3 linked regions of the Mytilus edulis genome follow. The protein of the gene in region 2 interacts with the protein of the main gene of each other region in a pairwise test. Links are inferred from orthologs where the notes say so. Each region holds a gene or a part of one and is shown on either strand. Other genes may lie near its edges. The genes, in order: coatomer subunit beta-like, coatomer subunit beta'-like and coatomer subunit alpha-like.

Region 1 (7,793 bases), on a different chromosome or scaffold from region 2:
TGACACCACCAAACTTCAAACTTGATCTGTGTTTTGTGGTAATAAGCATTGTGTATAAGTGTTTTATATCATTTGGTTGAGACAAACCAAAGTTAAAGAATGGAAACGAACTTTGGGACATGCAGACAGGCGGACATACATACAGAGACAAGGGTAAAACATTATGCCTGTAGCTGAGGGGAAATAATAATCTATTGGTAAGACAAAACCATTAAACTTTAAAAAATTCCTTTCAACTTGTAATTGGAAATAAAATCAGTCTGACCAGAGTTATTTTAATTAACTTTCCACACAATTTTTAACGCTTTAAATTTTGAATGTACAAACCTATAGATAGTATAAATAGCTAAAACAGCATTTCTCCTGACATAAGAGTGCCTGTGTTCTAAACACTGTCTGATTGCTGGCATCAGTGGTTCCAATAATTCGGCTTCCTTCAGTTTACATAAAAATCTCAATGTTGATCCTCTTATAAATTCATTTGGATGTTGAAGATCCTGAAAAAGAAGCAATTGGAATTATATTTGATATATCGTTACATAGGTATAAACCTATACTTTTAGTTTCATTTTGAAGAATGAATAATTCCAAAAACATGCGTGTTTAATTGTACCATCCTTACTCAAAAAAATAGATACATTATTCAGTGAAATTCTCAATAAGATACAAACAATAATATATGTACAGTGATTTATAATTTACATGTAGATCTTACTTGCATCTTTGTAGAAAGAAATAGTGTTGTTGCTAAATATCTAATTTATTTTCAATTTAACATTTCCCATCAATGCAGATGCAAATGATCTCTCCAAGGCTTTATTGCTCCTTGGTACCATGACACTATATTAGGAAGAACACTTTAAGTTAAAGCCCTAGAAAAAAACATACCTTTCTGTATGCATCACAAACAAGAATAAACTCGTGTAACATTTTGCCATCAGGGTTATATTTTGGAACAATTTCCCAGAAAATTAACAGCATTTTCTTGATGGTATGGTCTCTCACAGGCATGACAAATCTAATAATAGTCATCAATAATGATGGCATCTTCTCTCCATTCAGTATCATCTGTATCGTCTTCTTCAGAGCTTCAATCTTTGTTTTTGTATCTCCCTTTTCTAATAAAAAAAAAAATATCATTCAATATATATTGTACAATGTACTACAACTTTTGAAAAGTGAAATTTTACAATTTAATTTCAATCAGTTTCTTTTCATGCCTTTAAATACAACTGTATATACTGTGATCAATAAATTAAAACTAAAACATGAAACATGAATGATTTGGAGAGCATATAATAACCAGCAAATGATAAGCTACATGTAGCCATCAAAAATTAATTAAACCATGATATCAAAAGTTTGCTGAATGTGAATCACTCCAATACATGTACATCTTTTGTTTAAAAGTTTTTACGTCCTCATGTAGTTTGTTGTGTGTCATTTAAGATAGACTGCAAGATACATGTACATGTATTCAGCCTTAATGAACAATGCTGGCAAACCATTTCTTGTTGTTTATATTGTTTGTATACATGTACATATGAAGCATGTACATGTATGTAGAATTAACAATTGTGTAGATTCAGAAAAAAAGTTCCATGCTTGTATATTTGGTTGCAAAAAACATTACATAAAAAAAATTGACTTTCTAGATTGAGAACAGGTAAAACATCCACATTGCATTTCACTGGTGTTTTATATCAATATATATATTGCCATACCTAGATCTGATTTGAGTCCCATCTCTGTTGGAGGCTCTGCATCTGATGGTATATTTATCAGAGTATAACATGGCTGCTCAGCCAAGGTAGACATCTTTTTATTCTGAAAATAAAGTCAAATGGGCATTTTACATTTGTAGGTGTACATGTATCTATAAAATTTAAAATCTTTAGATAACAGCTCTAGAATAAGTTCATACAAGAGATTTTTTCCCCATTTACATGTGTGTATTATATGATCAGTGTTTTAACAAGTATCTCAGGATTTTTTTTATGGTATTGGAAGTTAATTTGGAACCAGTAAAGATGAAGACAGAAGACCAAATCTTTTATATAATAATTGAACAATATTTCTATAGATTAACAAAATCCTATGTTTTAAATCTGTTTTTTTGTTGTTGTTGCCATTTTGGAATGGTAAAAAAAAAAAGTGCAATTAGTTGCTTGTAAGCAGTCACCACATCACAAAGCTTGAAGGTTCAACAAAAAATACTAAACAAGTACTGCAACCAATGATCTAGAAATACTATTTTAGGGAAGATAATGACTGAACGCTTGTGTACTTTTACAAAATATAACTGGCTTTAAAATATGTCCATAACTACTTGTACAATAAAGTAATCAATAGCAATATACATGATATATGGGAAAGTTAAAAAAAAAATACATTGCACAATAACTTAAAGAGGCATAATTTACCTGGTACTCTAGGCCAATATATACATGTATTATTATATGTTTATGTTTAACTGAAAAATCTAATTTCCTACAACCATTAAAGTACCTGTTGACACACATGGTGATTCAATTATCATTCTTGTGACTTTCTCATGTATATATCTTGTATATATATAATTCATGATATGATAGTGACTTAGTCAGTATTTGGTGAAATATGATTTTGAGCAACACTTCTGTTTTAATGAGCTGAAGTCATTGTAAAGGTAGATCATTAAAAAATCAGGACAAAAAATAATTATGAATCATCTAATTTACAAGTACATTACCCCTTCCCCCCCTTTTTCTCTAATAAAAAAAATCTAGCAAGGAGTGCTTAATGAATCACCTTGTGTGTAAGGTATAATTTTGCATGAACAGATGCCTTGTACTATCCTCATTTGTAAAACTTTACATTGTCATACATTTTACACTTCTTCAAAACTTTAACTTTCTGATAAGATATTGTTTCTATTTGATATTGAAAAGTAACAAACTGTTCATGCAAAACAAACACAATAACTTGTTCTTACCGTCATCCTGATATGTTTGTATCTTATAATAAGTTTTTTCAAATATAAAATTGTGTAAATACAATATAAACAGTGATAAAGTGATTAATATGCATTTAACATGACTCATGAGTACATTGACACAATCTATTAGTTTTACAATGTGTAAGACTAAGAGTGCAAAACATTTATATTTAATATAAATGCAACTGGATGTCCTGCATGGTTTTTCTTCTGCCCCATAACAAAATTTCAACTTTTTAATTGTAGCAGCATAATAGTCCATTTGCCAATTACCAATTTGATTCTATTATTACACACTTTTTAAACAAACTACTTCCATGACTTCCCTTTGTCAATCGTAGACTGGTTCCATACCAGACAAAATTGGCTTTTGCCAATGCAAAGCATGATGAATTGGAAGGGATGTATCGGCGGTTAAACTAAATTTTCATGAAAAATAATTGCTGATGTCAAAAGTATTTAGCTAAACAACAAATTAATGTAATTAAAAGATTTAAAAACCTTACAGATTACTCACATTACGCACAGGTAAATTTGCTCTTACTGTGAGCTCTCCATTGTAAATAAAAATTAATGTCCCTCATAAAGGGAGACCAAAAAAATAAAGGTCTCTTATAACAGGGTCAATTACGGGAATTGGCGAACAGCCTATTGTCAATTGAAATAAATATCATTAATTCAATACATGCAACAGATTATTTTATTGATTTATTGTTACATGTATTGACTTGTATTACCTCCCTTAGTAGACCTTACTCAATGTGTCATGTACATCATTTGTACATGTATGATTATTGATAGGTTCTTTCCTCATTGTTCCTTGTATGATATCTACGCCTCTCATTTATTATTAAATATGACTTCCTAGCGATCACATGTGTAAGTTTTCTCTGGCTTCTAGCATGGGATCAATTCAATGTAAAGGAAAATCTATTGATAAATAGTCAATAACACAACTGATACCTGCTCCCAGCTTTAACTACTAAAACAAGAACTAAACTAAGTATTGAGGGCCTGATGACGGTAGAAAAATCAATTAAAAAGAAAAATTAATCAAAGGTTTTCATTCTTCCATGTCAGCTAAGTAATGAACTCAAAATCATTAACTTTTTATTTTTCAGACTTATTTTTTCCCATTTGCACAGACATCTCTTTCTTTCTTCTGGTCTTGTATGTCATGAGACTTGTTCTGTAAAATTGTTGTTTTTGATCATTCTTTGTCTTAGATACGAAAAAACGTAACATCATCAGGATAGCGTTTCTTTGTTTTCATTAAAAATGATGTCACAATTTTTAAAATCCCTAACAACAGGACCAACATCGGAAACGTTTCAGTATTTTAGTTTCTTTTTTTAACAGATTTTAAATTATAAGTATTTGACTATTAAAAAATAATGTACACAGAATTCTTCCCCTTTCACTGGTAAATTTATTATGTTGGACTATAATACTATTAGTGTTTCTGATTGAAAGGACATAACGAACAAATTATAAGCAGGATATTGTACCAAATTCAAAACTGTAATTGTAGGTTTATGTTAGAATTAATCAGCAATTAATGGATATCAACATAAACCAATAAAGCTGAAGTTTTTGAATCCTATCAAGATAACTTGTCTTCTTGTCTCCGTATGAGCCTCCTTTAAATAGGAGCACCACCATAGTTATGGCGTATAAAGGAGGACATTTGGAGCCTGTATCGGTACAGATTAATGTGAGCATTGTGACAACTTCCACTAAACAGATAACAAATGTTGGAAAGAAAACATATTGAGAATGTGATCAAAATGTTCCTTCACTTTTGTGTCCAGTATACGTGGAAGTTCTAAATTACAAATTCAACGTAAAGATATATTATTTGATACTTGTTAATAGTAGGTGTTTAACAAACCTTTGAATCTTCCAGCAAATGAAATTCTGGTCGCCGACAGGAAGTGCTTAACGTGGCCGGAAGTTACGTTCGGCCTCCGTTAGATACTTGGGATCTCATGTCATACGTCAGAGATAAAATTCAGTAGATTACCGAAAAGAATGTAACTGACAAAAACGGGCGATATTTACTAAACTCTTCAATAAGGAGGTATATAATTGTTAATAGACAGACGAAGTTCAGACAGCATGTCAAAATTAGGAGACAGAGACATATTTATATCATAGATACAAGCTAATACAGGTAATTAACACTTACCCCAAACCTACACAAAAAAGATGATAATAATACACCTTACTTTTGATATTCATAACAGAAAAAACAAACCTTTACAAATTAAATTTAGATCTATCATGATCATCTGAGACTACTGTACCGTACTAGTTTACACTAAAACGGGAAAATTATTATCATATGAAAAGGGCAGAGTGTTTAGTCATGTGTAATTGAAAAACTTGAGTGAAGAATGTAAAAGAAAGTATATTTTTGAAAATCATTATAAGATAAGATAAGATAACTTTTTTAGTACAAGTTTACAATGACTTAGGCATTGACAATAAATGGTTATGACAACAAATTAAAGACAAACTACAATGCTTTCAAGTCGATCAGTCCCCACATCGATATGGCCCAACGTCAGGCCCAATAAAAAATATATTTATAAGGAATAAAAATAAAGATATTAATTGTAACTCGTAAAGTTAATGAATTTATTATAATGTAAAAGGTGTATGTTAAAAAAAAATGTTTCACTACAAGTTTTTTAGATTATTGGGTATAATTATATTAAAAAAAAATATAACAAAATTTAGGACAATCAACAGACATCAACATTAATCAGCAGTTTTAAATTATCAATTTCTTTCAATTGATGTGATCTTAATTTAACAAGTCTTTCATCCTGTGTAATAACAAATAGTTACATACACAACGGTACAAGCCGATCCCCAAGCTGATACATACAAATTTTTTTTTGTGTGAAGTTCTTAGACAAGTGTTATAGAAGCCTCTGATGTTACCTGAAAAAAAAATACAATCACAACCATTTTCGTATCGACTTAAAATATTTCATCTTTCTGGTACTCCAAATATATTCAAACTTACCTGTTGTCATCCATTATTGATACTTTTTACAAATTCGATTTATACTAATTAAAAGTCTTTATAGTTTATTCCTTATAAATTATTATTGGGCCGGATCGACTTGAGCCGGGTCGACGTGGGCCGGATTGACTTGGGGGTGGATTGACTTGGGGCCGAATTTACCTGAGGCTGAATGGGTTTGGGGACGGAACGACTGGATACCACTACAATAACATATATACAACGAAGAAGTGACAGTGGATAATTATGGGAAAATTATATAAAAGAGAAGCATATAAATCATTACAGAAATCAAGTACCTTTTAATAATGAGTTTGTCACCAACTAGCATTCATTTTAACAAGTTATATGATAAAGAAGGTAATATGTTGTTCAATAGACTTTTTTTTTAATGAGGTTAATTTATTATCTCTCACGTTGTTAGTTATAGAATGAACATTTTAAAAGGAAGTGTAGTTCATCTCCAATGTCTCCACTGTTGCAGGAAAGACATATACTCTACTCTGCTTTGGTATTTTTAGATATCGCCCGCTTTCAATAGATAAAGTATGAGCACTAAACCTTAATTTACATAATGTTGATCTATCAGATTTGGATTTATATTGATCAACATACGAGGGTCTTTTATTTGGTTTATATAGTATATTAAAAAAAGTATAATTTTGTATTTTGATTGGGGAAGGCTATATCATTGGTTCTCTCAATTATATATATGCTAAGGACTTCATAGCTCAAAACAATTTTACATTTGGTATTGCCTTTTTTTATTATGGCTCAACTATACAGGTAGGATTTGCTAATGAGATTTTGCATGTTTGGGGTGCACAATATGTAGGTGTGCTTATTACATCTTTGTCAAATTTTAAGTTTCTTCTTATTAAAAATCGTAAATCTTATAAATCATAAATTTTGTGAAACTTATTTTGTGGTAGAATTACAATGGAAATTTACATACACATGTATGATACAGTCTATTCCTAAATGACGCATTTGTAAAATTGGCTTGTAAAAAAAAATTTGGTGGAAAAAATGGATTTATTATCTGGCAGGCCTCTTTTTAAAATTGAAACAAGCTTAAGTAAGCAAATTGAAGATTCTTGGTTTTTGATATAAATTGTTAGCTAACTATTCTTTTCCCAACTTTTATACTGACTACCTAACTATAGCAAGCTGTGCCTTTAAAAATCATGTGCTAGTACAACAATATTTAAGATTTTAAGATAAATGTACAACTCTTATATACGTTACTATGTTGGCTCTTATTGATTAGGTATAATGGATGACAATACAGCCTGGGTTCCAAGATGCCTCCAAGATCCTGAGGTAGATGACCAGAAGACTTGGATGAAAGGATGGGTTGAGAGTGAGGAAGACCTCCAGACAGTACTAGAGGCTCATAGAAGAGCATCTCTAAGTACCTTTGTGACATGGTAATATTGAATGAAATAAAGTATATTAATATAGAGAAAAAAATTAAACCCGGAATATGTCAAAAAGAATTATTGCAAACGGATTAAAGAGTACGAAACAGTTCAAGGACAACAATGGTCCTAATCAATGCAGCAACAAATTCCTCTACCAAAACAATCATGTATACTAGCTAAGTTCAGCAGACTGGATCCCACATTAAACACCAAAACTACAAATGAACCAAAATTTGAAAAAAAAGCTAATAACTAACATACATGTAGGCTAGAGGATCCTGTCAGATTTCAACTCTCACCTTATACCCTAGATTATATTGAATGAAAAAACAAACATTCAGCAAATTTAACCATTTAA
Region 2 (7,827 bases):
AACGAAATGTCCGATTCATCCGAAAATTTCAGGGCAGATAGATCTTGACCTGATGAACAATAATACCCCATGTCAGATTTGCTCTAAATGCTTTGGTTTTTGAGTTATAAGCCAAAAACTGCATTTTACCCCTATGTTCTATTTTTAGCTATGTCGGCCATCTTGGTTGGTTGGGCGGGTCACCGGACACATTTTTTTAAATAAGATACCCCAATGATGATTATGGCCAAGTTTGGTTAAATTTAGCCCAGTAGTTTCAGAGGAGAAGATTTTTCTAAAAGATTACTAAGATTTACGAAAAATGGTTAAAAATTGACTATAAAGGGCAATAACTCCTAAAGTGGTCAACTGACCATTTTGGTCATGTTGACTTATTTGTAGATCTCACTTTGCTGAACATTATTGCTGTTTACAGTTTATCTCTATCTATAATAATATTCAAGCTAATAACCAAAAACAGCAAAATTTCCTTAAAATTACCATTTCAGGGGCAGCAACCCAACAACGAAATGTCCGATTCATCCGAAAATTTCAGGGCAGATAGATCTTGACCTGATGAACAATAATACCCCCATGTCAGATTTGCTCTAAATGCTTTGGTTTTTGAGTTATAAGCCAAAAACTGCATTTTACCCCTATGTTCTATTTTTAGCCATGGGGGCCATTTTGGTTGGTTGGCTGGGTCACCGGACACAATTTTTAAACTAGATACCCCAATGATGATTGTGGCCAAGTTTGGTTAAATTTAGCTCAGTAGTTTCAGAGGAGAAGATTTTTGTAAAAGTTAATGCAGGACGACGAAGGACCACGGACGACAACGACGGACACCGGACGCCAAGTGATGAGAAAAGCTCACTTGGCCTTTCGGCCAGGTGAGCTTAAAACAGGTAAATTTTTCGCTAAAATGGGCTATCGAAAATACAGGTGACCGGATTTATCCAGTGCTTAAATGGGCTCTAATGTAGCCGCTCGAATGTCCCCTAGTAGTTTTAATTTTTTCCCTCAAATGTCCTGCGCCCGACCAGCCATCCTATCAATACAGATGTTGTTTCTGATAATTTTAGCAACATACATATGTATTTAGTCCCTTGATCATTAGTATTGTATATTTAAAGCTACAATAAAATTAAATCACTTAGTCTAGTGATAATTTGTACTACTATCTTAAGGGTGACTAAAAGAAAGAAAACTCTTACTTCCAACATTTGTAGATTGGACATAATGTTAATTGATTCAGTGATTTAGAAAATCACTCATTTAAGTTAGTCCTGACTGATTGACATTATACACCTCATAACTATTTATCAGCCTTAACTGGACATCACAAAAGTTCCTATAAAATTTTGACGTCATAATAGAAAATATCTGAAGCCACAATGGAAAAGTGATTGTGGTATGACATCAAAAGTTCAAGCGAGACAGATTCTCCGGTCATGATATGAAAATTAATGTAACCTTATTTTGTGTAACAGTATCAATATTACCAGCTACATGTATACATCCTTGTCAGACTTTGAAGGACTTGGACATGCTTTGCAGTTATTGCATGATTTGACTGGTTTGGCCTACATAAAGATAAACTGATATGGGATCCGGAAATCTAAGTCACAATTTAACTTCTTTTTTTTCCATTAAAAGTTTGATTTCATTTTTTTACACCAGGAATCACAGCAGAAATGAATGTCTCACTATCCTTATAAAACAATAAAATCGAAATTTGAAAAACAAGAATGTGTCCCAAGTACACGGATGCCCCACTCGCATTATCATTTTCCATGTTCAATGGACCGTGAAATTGGGTAAAAAATCAAATTTGGCCTTAAAAGTAAAAAGATCAACCAAAAGGGAACATGTGTACTAAGTTTCAAGTTGATTGGACTTTAACTTCATTGAAAACTACCTTCACCAAAAACTTTAACCTGAAACTCACACTTTTAATTTCTATGTTCATGATCAGTGGACCATGAAAATGGGGTCAAAAGATTAATTTTGTTTTAAAATAAGAAAGATCATATAATAAGGAACATGTGTACTAAGTTTCAAGTTGATTGGACTTTAGCTTCTTCAAAAACTACCTTGACCAAAAACTTTAACCTGAAATGGGACGGACGGACGAACAGACAAACGGACAGACGGACGGACGGAAGGACGCAGAGACCAGAAAACATAATGCGGCTTATGCCCCTCTATTATCGTAGGTGGGGCATGAAAACAATTCTTATAAATCATGTAAATTGGAACTAAGGATTTGTACAAATACTCATTAGAGTGATTAAAATGACTGTAAGGAGGTTGTAAAAAAAAATGAAGAATAGATGACATTGACTTTCAATATTAAATTTATTTTGTCGAAAATACGTTCAAATAAAGAAACTACATTGTACATACATGACATACAATGACATAGAAACTTCAAAAAGTTTGTTACTGTTTGAGGAATATTGAAATTCAAATTTGAACTGTCTGGAAGAAAACAATTTTCATGAAATGACTAAACGTACTACATTGTGGTTGTTCAAATGCTGACTGACTGATTTTTCTGGGGAAAACAATTATTATAAGAAGGTTAATTATCATAATTATATTTGTGGTTAAATATGATCCATTAGTGACCAATCGGATGGTGATAAGCGGATAAGCTGTTACAAATCACAACTTGTAACACCTGTTGTACAAATGTAAATGTTAATTACCGGCTCAGGGCCAGAAACTTGAACACAATTATATTTTTTATACAAAAATATTATTAGACCTTCAAACATGTCATGATTTAAGAGACGAAATTGATTTGAAATCCTTTCAACATTTTGAAAACCATTTTGTGAATGACGAAATGATGGAACACTAGCAAAATCACTGCAGGTTGGACAGATACGAATCCGGGTCCATTCGCGCCCATTCACGTTTGCACCCACTCATGATCGCCCCCTTTCACTTTCGCACACTATATGTTCGCACTGAAAGTCCGTTCGCACATTACATGTTCGCGCCCAATTTTTATTGGTTTTGTGTTTAACAACTTTGTAATCAAGTTTTGGAAAGTGTATTCCTATCAGAATATTTGTTGTCATTGTCTCATTATAAAGTGAGACAGCATTATTTTTTGTGTTGAATAAATCTCATTTGGATAGTGTATTGTTAAAAAAAATAACAATCCTTTCTAAATAATGTTGGAATCTGTCAACGTTTTATTTTGTGCTGAATAACTCTTAATCATGTTTTGGTTAGTGTATCGCTGTAACTTTGTTTCAATCATTGACTTAGGCCATAATAAATAAAAGGTTTGTTTGCCCAAACACTTCCTACCAAGAAAAAAAGCTGCCTACTCAAATTCTTTTATTGTCCTGATTTGAAGAAGTTTTTTTTTTTTATCAAATAGGCATGAAGACTAATTAACATCTGATACTTCAATTTCTTTTTTTGAAAGAAAAAAAAATGCCTACCTACCTACCCACTGTCTCAACCTTTGGGTAGGGTTTGGGCAAACCAAAATATTTTTAAGTCTGGCCTTGTTTCAAAATAAAGTGAAATTCTAACTACGTTTTCTTTTTGTGTGTTGAATAAATTTTATCATTTAAATCAGGACAATAAAAGAATTTGAGTAGGCAGCTTTTTTTCTTGGTAGGTAGTGTTTGGGCAAACAAACCTTTTATTTATTATGGCCTAAGTCAATGATTGAAACAAAGTTACAGCGATACACTAATCATGATAATAGTGTATTGCTATATTTTATTGTTTCATTGTTTCAGATCAAAGGGACCAAGCTGTTAAAAACAATTATCTTTTGTGTTTTTCATTTAAAATCTTCAATGTTTTACTCATACATTTTACTAAGCTAAATACCTATGCAGTTTAAAACAACAATCATGATTTTCTAATTATTCAACTGGAATTTGATCTAAAATTGGGCGTGAACATGTAGAGTGCGAACAGACCTTGGGTGCGAACGTGCGAGGAGCAGACGTGTAGGGTGCGAAAGTGTATTGGGCGCGAACGGACCTGATACACCTTATTGCTAATCCCGTCTGACCCCAGAATCTGTCCCACTTGAACTATTGACGTCATACAACAATCGCTTTTCCATTGTGGCGTCAGATATTTTGTATTATGACATCAAAATTTTACGTGAACCTGTATGATGTCCAGTAAATTGTAATGGCGGGCAAATAGCGATAAGGTGAATTACAAAATAGAGACAAGGTGTATACACCTTATCGCTATTCCCGGCTGACCCGTCCGCTTGAACTTTTGACGTCAACAACAATCACTTTTCCATTGTGGCGTCAGACATTTTGTTTTATGACGTCAAAATTTTACGGGAACCTGTGTGATTTCCAGCAATGGCGGACAAATAGCGATAAGGTGTATTGTAAACAGTATTATTGTGTAAAGTTTACTTACTTTTGACCAAAATAAAACTATGACTATCACAAGATGGGCGACAATTGTGAGAAATCTTGCTGGAACAAGACCACTTATTCTCATTTTGACTATATCTGAAGTATATGTATAATTTCCTTGTAATTTGTATTAAGTTGGAACCAAGAATTTACAAATTACGACAGTATACTTCGAATTCTTGCCAAGTGTTGTTTTAACTCCTTAAATATGCGTAACCATTCAGTTTTGCTTTTACAATAAAATGGTTATGTCTTTGATGACAACTTGCTATTCACGATGTACACAATGCATAAGTATAAAAATATTGGTATGTCTAAGCTTGTTTGGCGGCCATTTTCAAACAAATCATGTTTAACTTCCGAGTCCGGTCACGCTTGCGCATTCACTGTGGACACGTCTCTTCATCCAGGTTGAAACTGAACCGGCGAAACTTATTTGTTTACAAACTTATAACCCAAGAGAATGGTAACGAATAACTATTTTAGAATTTTATAACGCATGAGCTTCTCGATATGTAGTAGCTGTCAGGTTTAGGGGCGAAATATAGTAAAGATCAACGTTTAATGTGAAAAGGGGGGATATGGACCATTGTTGACACATTTTTTAACATTACATATTTTGTAGGTTACCGAAAATTATTGCAATTAGACATTAAGTGTAAAGCAGAACGACACTAATTTGATAGTCATTTATGAAATGTGGTCATAATCATAATGCATTATTGGTTGTAAGCTAATCATTTTTGTACCACTGGGGCACTGCCATACACCTTATCGCTAATCCTGGCTGACCCGGCCGCTTGAACTTTTGACGCATAGAACAATCACTTTTCCATTGTGGCGTCAGATATATTGTTTTATGACATCAAAATTTTACGGGAACCTGTGTGATATCCAGTAATGGCAGACAAATAGCGATAAGGTGTATTTCGTACCCTATGCCTATGGGCCAAAGCATCTATCAATTTGTCCCTCATGAACTAAATACATGTTAACTATTTTGTATCATTTACCAACAGTCTTGGTAAATGATAGTAATATTTAATAAATATCAAATCTGTTTGTTTTTATACACCCGTTTACTGGACGTATTATGGTATACTGTTGTCTGTCCTTCCGTCGTCAATTTGTTGGACAATAACTCAAAAACGCTTGAATGTTATTAATTTAATCATGATTGAGTAATTGTACAATAAGTGCATGTGGAGTACATACATCAATGAAATAGTACAGGCCTCTACAATAACTTTTTTTTCAACTTGTCCAGTCATGCCAGTAGGACAAGTACATACCAAAACTTACTTGTCCCAATGAAATTGTTACTTGTCCAAATTTTTTTAATAAAAAATAACCTTTTTACATTTTAAGTTGATTAAAGGAACAAAACGAATTTAAACAATAGAACAGAATTTGATGTATTTCTTTTGAAATACTTTTCAAAAATATGAGTCAAGTACAACTGAATCTAGTCATGTCACAGGACTTAGGTTCTAGTTTTCATCAATGCCAGCTGTCTCATCAGACTCTAAACATGAGGCACCATCTGATAGGCCTGTACACTCATTGGATTTGTATCCTGGTTTTTTTTTTAAGTTGAAAAAAGTTTATTCAAATGCAATCAATAAAAAGAAGAAGATAAGGTCTGATTGCCAATGAGACAACTCTCTTCAAGAGACCAAAATGACACAGAAATTAACAACTAAAGGTCACCATTTTGCAAGTATTGTTTTTTTTTTACCTATGATCAAATATGATTTTGTGAATTTTATGAAATTATGGTTAATACAAAAAATTATGGAAAATAAAAAAAAATATTTTTGTGAAAAAATTACCTGTATGGTATTTATTATAAAGAACAGAATAAGGAAAGAAAATGAGGAACTGATTTGTCTTGGTCCCGAAATGTCTCCTGCCTTGCCAAAGTGTCTATCAATCATTTCCACTAAATTTGTCTCCTACGGTGCCAAACTGTCTATTAAACTTTGAGCTAAACCTGTCGAAGTGAGAACTGTCCTGTAAAGTTACCTAGTCTACAAAACCCAGCATTGATTATTCGGATCAGTAAGGCTGGTTTCCGAGAATAGTATAATGTACCAGTGTTCTCCCCAGATATTTCATTTAGCATCCTGGTAAATAGGGGAAATTAAAATACCATCTTGTTTCTGAAATTTATAGCATCACATCCATAACATAATCTATAAGAAAACCAATTCAAATAGCATCACATTTAAGATTATAGCATCACATTACCATGATGCTAAAAGGCCCTGGGGAGAACACTGAGTACCTTTCACCTGTTAAAAGGTACCTGACAAAGGACAAGTTAAAAATTATCGATTGCAAGTAAACATGCTAAAAAAAAGGTTTTGCATTTCAATAAACAGAATACAGAAACATGTCAAACTAATTTTTGTTTTTTGTTTATTATTATACTTTGTTCATCAAAGTTGGATGAAATTTATTTTCTGCAGAATAATTGTACTTGTTCCAACGGACAAGCTTGATACAGCTTTTACTTGTCCGACCTTTTTTCCCTCTGGTATCGGACAAGCGTTATTGTCGAGGCCTATAGTATCCAAACCTTCTAAAATGATAAACAATAAAACATACAAAACTTCCATGAGGTGAAAAATGGTAAACATACAAACCTAACATGATGAGATAAGAAATGGTATACATTGTACATATAAGTTGTCCATGAGGTACGAAACCATGGATATGGGATATAAAAATCCAATCTCTGTCACCCACTTTTCCTATGTTGATAATATTAAAAACCAGAAATTTTAATAATATATTTCTAATTAACAATGGTCTTCTACATGTACATGTATGTATCTTTCTTATGTCATGTTATTAAGTTTGTGCATGCTTCTTCTTCTTGTTATGGAAAAAGTACTCTTGTATCTGGAGAACTTCTGTGATGGGTTAAAAGGAACTACCAAACAACAGTTGAAAGGATATATAGTATTAAAATAATATGAAATCTAGTATTTACAGCTCTACACTGTTCATTCTTACATATACTTACTTAAACATGATCAACATCTAATATCTAATGAATTATGTATTGCAGCCGTTACGTTTGAATATAAAGCGGGTTTTGACAGCCCGATCAGATCGTGTTAAAAGCATGGGTCTGCACCCAACTGAACCATGGATGATGGCTAGTTTGTATGATGGCAAGGTGGTCATTTGGAATTTTGAATCTCAGGTATATAACTATTGACTTTTATTATTCTTTTCAGCCGCTACGTTTGGATATAAAGCGGAAGCTGTCAGCTAGGTCTGATCGTGTCAAATCTGTGGACTTGCACCCTACAGAGCCATGGATGTTAGCCAGTTTATACAATGGAAATGTACACATTTGGAATTTTGAATCCCAGGTATCTCAAAGTTTCTCTAGGCTATAGCTAGCATGTGAGCA
Region 3 (8,079 bases), on a different chromosome or scaffold from region 2:
TCGGTTAGGAATGAAGTTAGCCATTTGTGGATATTTCCTCTAATTCCATATTGGTCTATTTTGTGCAAGCGTCTATCATGAGGTACTGTGTCGAACGCTTTTGAAAAATCCAGAATCGCAATATCTACTTGGTTTCCTTTATCGTAGGATTGTAGCATATCATGGATTGTAATGGCAAGTTGGGTCTCACAGGAATATCCAGATCTAAAGCCGTGGTTTAGTGATGTTAATACATTATGCTTTTCCAGATGTTTGAGTATATGACGGCATATGATGTGCTCAAGGAGTTTACATGGTACTGATGTCAATGAGACTGGCCTGTAGTTTTCGGCCGCGTGTCGGTCTCCTTTCTTAAATATGCTAGAGATGTTTGCATTTCTCCAATCCTCTGGTAGTGTACCACTGTCTAGTGAGAGCTGGAATATGAGTGTTATTATTGGTGCCAGATGTTCGGCGCATTGTTTTAGTACTCTGTTTGGTATGTTGTCAGGACCAGATGCTTTGGATGGGTTTACTCTCTGTAGCAGCTTTTTAACTCCTTCTGATCTGATGGTAATTTGATGTATGGAGTCTTTTACCCTGATGTTTGTTTTGGGTAGTGTTTTAGTTGTTCCTTTTGTGAAGACAGACGCAAATTGCTCCAGTAGAATTTGCGCCTTCTCCTTACTGTCGTTTATGAGCTGTCCATGTTTCTTTAGTGGTGCAACCCCTATATTGTCCTGTTTCCTTGACTTAACATACTTCCAGAAGGGTTTTGTGTTGTTCTTATTCATTCCTTCAATTATAGCGTTGTTAATATAATTGTTTTCTGCTTTCCTAATTTCTCTTTTGCATGTTTTTTGGAAATGGCGGTAGTTTGTCCATGATTTTGTTCTTTTGGCCTGGTTATACAAGTTTTGTTTTTTCTTCAGCATCTTTTTGATCTTTTGTGTTATCCATGGTAGTCTGTTGTTGGACTTGACTATTTTTGATGGTATGTTTTTATCAAGGCTGGCAAATAGGTGTTTCTTGAACATCAGCCATGCTTCGTTGACATTTTGGTTGTTTTGGATGCTGTTGCTTATCTGTGATAATAGTGAATCTAGATCTTTATTCACTTCATCCCAGTTGGCTCTTGCCCAGGTGTAGACTTTCCGAGGATTAGATTTGTAGTAGGAAGGTTTGATGTCCGTATCAGTTATGATGATTGCATGGTCAGAAATACCTGGTATGCTTGTTGATGTTTTCATAAGTGACGGGTTTGATGTGAATACAAGGTCCAGTAGGTTGTTTTCCCTTGTTGGTTCTTCGTGGAATTGTGTAAGGCCAAATTGAGTTGTGATGTTTACGAGCTGTTTTTGAACTTCTGGATCTTGAGCATCTTTCCTAATGGTGAGGTTGTCCCACATTATGTCTGGGCAGTTGAAATCGCCTGCAAGTATGATGTTACTGTTTTTGTTCTCCTCTGTGATTTTTTCCAGAGATTTTTCTAGTTCTTCTAGTTGGGCTTTGTTTCTATGTGGCATGTAGAATGAGCCGATGATTAGGTCTTGGGCTGTTTTTAGTTTGAGCTTTACCCATTCAATTTCACATTTTGTTATGTATTGTGGTTGTTCGGTACTAATCATGCTGTTGTGGACTAGTATGAATACTCCTCCTCCTAAGGTACCCCTGTCATTCCTGAATGATGTGTAGTTATCAGGGAATACTTCAGCAGATTTTATAGCATCTTTAGTCGGATTCTTTCCGGGTTTTACCCCTTTTAGCCAAGATTCTGTGCCAATAATAATATCTGGCTTTGTGTATTGTACACTGAAAATCTAAATTAGTCACGATGACTATTCAGTTAGTCAAATATCAGCCGAAAGGTAGTCAAAAGCATATATGACTACCCACCAAGTCATTATGACTATCTGCATGGTCAATTGACTATGTTAGTGGTCACAGCACCACGTGGTGTAGAGTATCGGTTTTCACGCGCACTCTTTCGCGTTCCCTTTGTTCCATAGATTGTGTAGATGTAAACAAACCAGAAGGCACGGAAACTGTTATTTTGTCAAATAAACCAATTGTTTAAAGTAAGTATGATGTATATATGTTTTAATTCTAACTTACAAAAATTGAATTTAAGAAAAAGAAGTGTATAAATGAAAGTAATATCGGTACATGTTTACGTAACGACAATAAAAAAGGGGGGATATGTATACGGGATATCAATTTTGATACACATACAACGTATTGTCGATTGAAAAGAGTATTTAGCGATATCTTTTTTTTCACCTGAGCAAAAACTGTTAAAAATAAACACTGCAATCGATATTCACAACAATGAATTAAAAACTCAGGGTGGCTGTCAAGATCCTGGTGCTTACATTACAATGCTGTGATATAGGATGGGTAGCTGTGAAGATCCTGGTGCTTACATTACAATGGTGTGTTATAAGATGGGTGGCTGTCAAGATCCTGGTGCTTATATTACAATGTTGTGTTATAAGATGGGTGGCTGTCAAGATCCCGGTGCTTATATCACAACGCTGTGGTATAAGATGGGTGGCTGGCAAGATCCCGGTGCTTACATTACAATGTTGTGGTATAAGATGGGTGGCTGGCAAGATCCCGGTGCTTACATTACAATGTTGTGGTATAAGATGGGTGGCTGTCAAGATTCTGGTGCTTACATTAAAATGTTGTGGTATAAGATGGGTGGCTGTCAAGATCCTGGTGCTTACATTACAATGTTACAATGTTGTGATATATAGGATGGGTGGCTGTCGAGATCACGGTGCTTACATTAAAAATTAATGATATAAGATGTCGAGTGATTAAATCACTAGATCAAAGATTTTAAAATTAGTTTTTTTTTAACTTTTAACATGACTGATATTCTTGTTTATTGTTATATTTTAGCTTCTAAAATGATACAATTATATTTTTCAGCAAATGAAGACATTGTTATTTGTATGAACACAGCTGAGAGATTTTTTACCATAGAGAATACCACACTGACACATGCAGAGTTGATCCCGACAAAATATCTGAAATAAACACTTCAAATTAACAATGAGTTTATAATAAATTTATTTTCTTTATTTGATTTTTAGACTTTAATATATGTCACTGAGTAATAGTTACACACGGAAACTTAAGATATAGGAAGGTTTTGAACATTGAGCACTTTGTGGTCCTATACTATTGTCATTGTTAGTATTGATGCTGTGGTATTTTTAATGATATTATATTCCAGATGTATTTGTCAATCCTATGGAAGAGAAACAACAAAAAGTATAATAACAGAAGAAATGAACCATAACAGAACGAAACGGAATGAAACGCACACAAATTAAATGGTAGAACAAAAAACACAACACAAATTAAAATAACAGTCTAACAGTCGTGACTATTCACAGTAATCATGTTGACTAACCAACATGGTCACTTCCGACTATTTCAATGAGTCATATGGACTGCATTCAATTGTCAAACTGACAAATGTGCATAGTCAATTGAACAATCCAATTCGTCATAACGAGTATGACATATAGTCATTTTGACTTCCTAACATAGTCATAATGACCACCCTACTCCGTCAAATGTGACTAACCATCTAGTCAAACGACTAAGAGCATAGTCAAAATGATTAAAGTGCATTGTCATCTAGAGGACAGTCAAAATGACTAATTAAATTGGTCAAATTGACTAATTTAGATTTTCAGTGTAATGTTGTTTTGAATTCTGAGGTTTTATCTTTGATGCTTCTACAGTTTACCGTCATGATTCTGAGGTTTCTTTTATTGGTGATGTTAAAGGGTGGTGGTGTTGTGTCCTTTATGCTGTTTCTTGTACTGTTTGCAACTGACCGATTTTTGGTAATTGATTTGTCTTTTGGACTACTTGTTACAAGTGGACTAAATGATGAAGAAAAGGTGTCCATAAAGCTGAGATCTGTTGTTAGAGGTTCGTAATAGCTTATGTTTTCAATCTCGTATGCATGGTAAGTGAATGAGGATACATTTAGGCTGTCACATTTGCAGCACATCCATTGCACGTTTGATCTTTGTAGAAGTTCGTAATCTGTCGTGCACAGTTCGATGCATGAGCGGTGGTGCCATATGCTGCAACAATCGCAACATACTCCCTCTGTTGACCATGTAACGGGTCTTTCACACAAACCACATGGGAAGACGTTTGCTGTTTTTGGACCTGGATTTGATTCAATGTCACCTGATAGTAGTATGATGAGCAGTGCTGTTGTTAAGTTTTGCCTTGCATGTATTGGTAATGATATTGGCCTTCTTCCGCTATGATGTAATTTCGGGTTTAGCAAGTTGACTAGATTTTGTTTTGTTGACCCTGTATGTGCATTTATGATATGCAGGGCTAATGAGCTGGCTAGGAAAAGTAACAGTGTATACTTCATGTTGTAACTAATATAGCAAGGGAGATCCTTACTGATTGTTGTTGTTATGAGGTTTTATCAGTATGTACAATGTAGCAAGGGAAATCCTTACTGATTGTTTCTGTTGTGTTGGTCCAATGTAGCAAGGGAGATCCTTACTGATCGGTTAAGTTGCATGTAAAATGTAGCAAGGGAAATCCTTACTGATTTTGTCTTGAAGTGGCGGTCCAATGTAGCAAGGGATATCCTTACTGCCGAGTTTGGATTGTTTAAAGTTTATGTTTAATAGATATAGCAAGAGTAATCCTTACTGCTTAACATGATTTGGATGAATGAGTTGATTAGAACACTAAATATATACACTTATCAAGGAAAAAACTGCCAAAAATATACAAAACTGGTGAATAAAACCCAGCGATATGGATTCCACCTGGAACATTAAAAAAATCACATATTCTTAAAAATAGAGAGCATTTCATATTATTTTTTTTTTTTGCTTAATTACTTTATTATGGTATTTTTTATTTTGCTGTACATATATTTATTCTGCGGTGATATTTATTATTGTTGTTCGCTGGTCGCTAATAATGCGATAATAAAGTTATAAAAGATTTCCCACCAAGAGCCTCTTCAGAGCCTGAGGTGAAATGATTGCTCCCTTACCGTCAATTTACTCGGTCAGGGAACCAGTCAAAACAGTAACTTCCGGTTTTACGTGGAACTGCCATAGTGGAAATTCTGCCGGTTGTACACAAATTATAGTTATTTACGAGTAACAGAATCATCTTATGGCATTATGTTGACGAAATTTGAAACCAAATCTGCAAGAGTGAAAGGTGAATGAAAGCATTTTTTTTGTCCAAAAGGCTTTATTTTCCAGTTACAAGGTGTAGACGCTTTAAAATGTGACAAAACTTCATAAAATCATAGACACAGGCATATTTTTCTATCTTACAAATTATATATCATCGACATCCGATGATTACACATTGTCTGCATACGTGGACTATTTAGAAAATTTGACCCATTTATTAAACGAAATATGATCTTCAATCTTTTTTCTTGATGACACCTGGGGTAATCTCTCTTATAAATTATTCGCTTTTGTAAATTAAAATCACTAATGTATTTTATTTATGTGCTTTGAAAATATCAATATACACAATGAATATGTTGTCTTATCAAATATCAATACTGTTGCAGGTCATAATTTAAAGATGGTATATTTTGATATATTATAAATATTGATTCACTAATAGGGGTTTGTCTTTTCACCACCGAACATCACTGCACACCGCCTACCACCACCGAACACTCCAAAAGACCACTAAACTTTAAGGAAAACAGTAATGTTTCACAAAACAAATCAATTAAATTATGTAATATTATTCCCATTTCTCATGTTTTTTCATATTTTTATGTGCATTTTTAGTGATTTTATTATTAAAGTTGAGAATCAAATTTAAAAAAAGGCTGCCATGTTTGATGGTGTTCAGTGCTAAAAAAGACCTACCGCACTCATAGGGTCTTTGCCTCAGAAATAAACACATATTCTAAAACCAGTTGTTGGCATGATACAGGTTGTGTTCTTCTCGTAGATTTTATGATGGTTTGATACAAAACCTACATCTACATCATTGAAATGCAAAGGGTTTAAGACCCATCACGCAAGTACTAATTAAGTCATTCAATATGGTGCTCATTAAAAAAATATTTACATGTGTGAAATTTCGCCTTTTCAGAATCTAAATGACTATGGGTAATCTCATCTGTTTGTTAGTTTATGTATCATTGTCATTGTGCTAAATGTTTTTTTTGTTACCTATTCCTACAATGTACGTATTGATGTTTAAGGCTGTTGATATCACACTTAGTTGAAACTGTATGTTTGCTATTTCAGGTCTTACTTTTCATCCTAAGAGACCATGGGTGCTGACAAGTTTATTCAATGGTGTTATCCAGTTATGGGACTACAGAATGTGTACATTGATCGACAAGTTTGATGAACATGATGGTAATACATTATACCTTTTATAGTACCAGTGTTCTCCCCAGGCCGTTTTAGCACAGCACTTTTCAGCGCTATTGCAATTCCCCGCTGTCCTATTGCACTGACCGCAGCGCTATCCAACGCAACGGCGTCGCTATATTTTTTTCAAATTTCCCGCTTATTTTTCACTTCGGATCACGTGATCGACTGGTTTACGATTTTTGAATGAATTATTTCCGTTGTATTAAAGTAACTTCACAGGACCAGTCTAATAAATTTTACAAAAATGGCGTTTTTGGAAGATCAAAATAAACAAAGATTTCAGAATACAGATTTCAACATTGACATCGATTTTTTTAATTTAAAGAAAATATAGAGGCATATATGAATGAAATGTGATGAAATGAATTGACCGCATTTCCTGACGTCACTCACAAACTTGTTTTACGAACTTTGAACAAACGATCATTTTAAAAACGATCAAACACAGGGGTTTGTTACAAATTATTTGCAGGGTTTACTATCCATACGAACCCCGAAAATGACCAAGTCTTTTAAATATTAATTATCCCCTATTCGAACTTATAATTTAGTCAGAAATTCTTCCATTTGATAACAATTTGAGAGGATATGATTAGCAAAACAAACCCCAAGCTGATACGACTTGAGAAATTTTACTTTCTCGATGTCCAGCTTGGATGAGGCCATTTAAATATTATAAAACGTTTAGGTCATAAAAATGAGAAATCTTTATGCTAAAAAATGTCAATTCCTGTCAAACGTCGTAAGGTAAACAGTACACTGCTACAGTTTGTTACAAAACCAAACAGAAGCTGACAATGACTTTATTGTTGGTCCTACATGTTCTGCAACATTACCTGATGGTGCTAAGAAATCTTGGCACAGGCAGTCTGGTGTAGATCCATCATAGAAAAAGACTCTTCCTTCAGTTTTATACATAGATAGTATGAGGATTTAATATATGAATTTACAATGGAGAAAAAAAGACTCTTCAGACTTCTATATCCAGACAATAACATTAACAAACAAAGCATCATTAAGGGATACACTGTAACTTCCATGAGCATGACAAGGACATCATAACAAGAGGAAATATCAACAGCATGATATAATAAAAACACATAACAAATCAATTACAAACAAACCGAGCGCCGCGATAAAGTTACTGAGAATTGTCGAAAATTACGCGCTTACCACAGCGCTATCAAAAAATCCTGGGGAGAACACTGAGTACAATGTAGTATTACATAATTATATTTTTTCCACTAGTCTTACAACTGTACTTTCATTTTATAAAAGGTTAACCAACACCTGAAGTGGTAATCGTGCAGTTTTGTAATAGTGGGGGGATACCGAGAGGTATTCACAGTTGTCTTTCACTAGATAAGTAAAATAAAACGAAAATTAAGACAACAACACCCATCAATTACTGCATGGTAAGAGTTTATTCAGGTCAACAGATTTCACAATCAACTGTACTTTAATTTGGATGCATATCTTTAGTACTATAGAAGATTTAAAGAATAAACAGAAAAGATAAAAGTATTTATCAATTAAAAACTTAATTTCAATAAAAAAAAACTATTATTTTTAGTCATTTTCATCATATTCATTACTTCTCTTAAATAATTTAACAAATGGGAGTAACTTAAATCAATGAACTGAATCATTGACATAGCAGTTGTATAAATTG

The links.
Region 1: the proteins of coatomer subunit beta'-like (region 2) and coatomer subunit beta-like interact in a two-hybrid assay, tested with the Homo sapiens proteins (2 studies listed by BioGRID, with this or other methods). The link is inferred for Mytilus edulis from reciprocal best matches to the Homo sapiens genes COPB2 and COPB1.
Region 3: the proteins of coatomer subunit beta'-like (region 2) and coatomer subunit alpha-like interact in a two-hybrid assay, tested with the Homo sapiens proteins (2 studies listed by BioGRID, with this or other methods). The link is inferred for Mytilus edulis from reciprocal best matches to the Homo sapiens genes COPB2 and COPA.

The regions. Positions count from the first base shown.
Region 1 is NC_092353.1:31,908,803-31,916,595, reverse strand, and holds the start of coatomer subunit beta-like, read right to left. Parts: upstream 3,075-7,793; 5' UTR 2,981-3,074; coding exon 2,975-2,980; intron 1,877-2,974; exon of another isoform or gene 1,828-1,876; coding exon 1,725-1,827; intron 1,119-1,724; coding exon 889-1,118; intron 498-888; coding exon 328-497; intron 1-327. Other genes in the region: uncharacterized protein, read left to right, coding at 7,287-7,441. UniProt on the Homo sapiens protein: The coatomer is a cytosolic protein complex that binds to dilysine motifs and reversibly associates with Golgi non-clathrin-coated vesicles, which further mediate biosynthetic protein transport from the ER, via the Golgi up to the trans Golgi network.
Region 2 is NC_092356.1:64,947,700-64,955,526, forward strand, and holds the start of coatomer subunit beta'-like, read left to right. Parts: upstream 1-4,777; 5' UTR 4,778-4,863; coding exon of another isoform or gene 4,864-4,866; intron 4,867-7,476; coding exon of another isoform or gene 7,477-7,576; coding exon 7,577-7,786; intron 7,787-7,827. Other genes in the region: transmembrane protein 107-like, read right to left, coding at 4,402-4,485. UniProt on the Homo sapiens protein: The coatomer is a cytosolic protein complex that binds to dilysine motifs and reversibly associates with Golgi non-clathrin-coated vesicles, which further mediate biosynthetic protein transport from the ER, via the Golgi up to the trans Golgi network.
Region 3 is NC_092345.1:20,017,098-20,025,176, reverse strand, and holds the start of coatomer subunit alpha-like, read left to right. Parts: upstream 1-5,047; 5' UTR 5,048-5,171; coding exon 5,172-5,211; intron 5,212-6,275; coding exon 6,276-6,389; intron 6,390-8,079. UniProt on the Homo sapiens protein: The coatomer is a cytosolic protein complex that binds to dilysine motifs and reversibly associates with Golgi non-clathrin-coated vesicles, which further mediate biosynthetic protein transport from the ER, via the Golgi up to the trans Golgi network.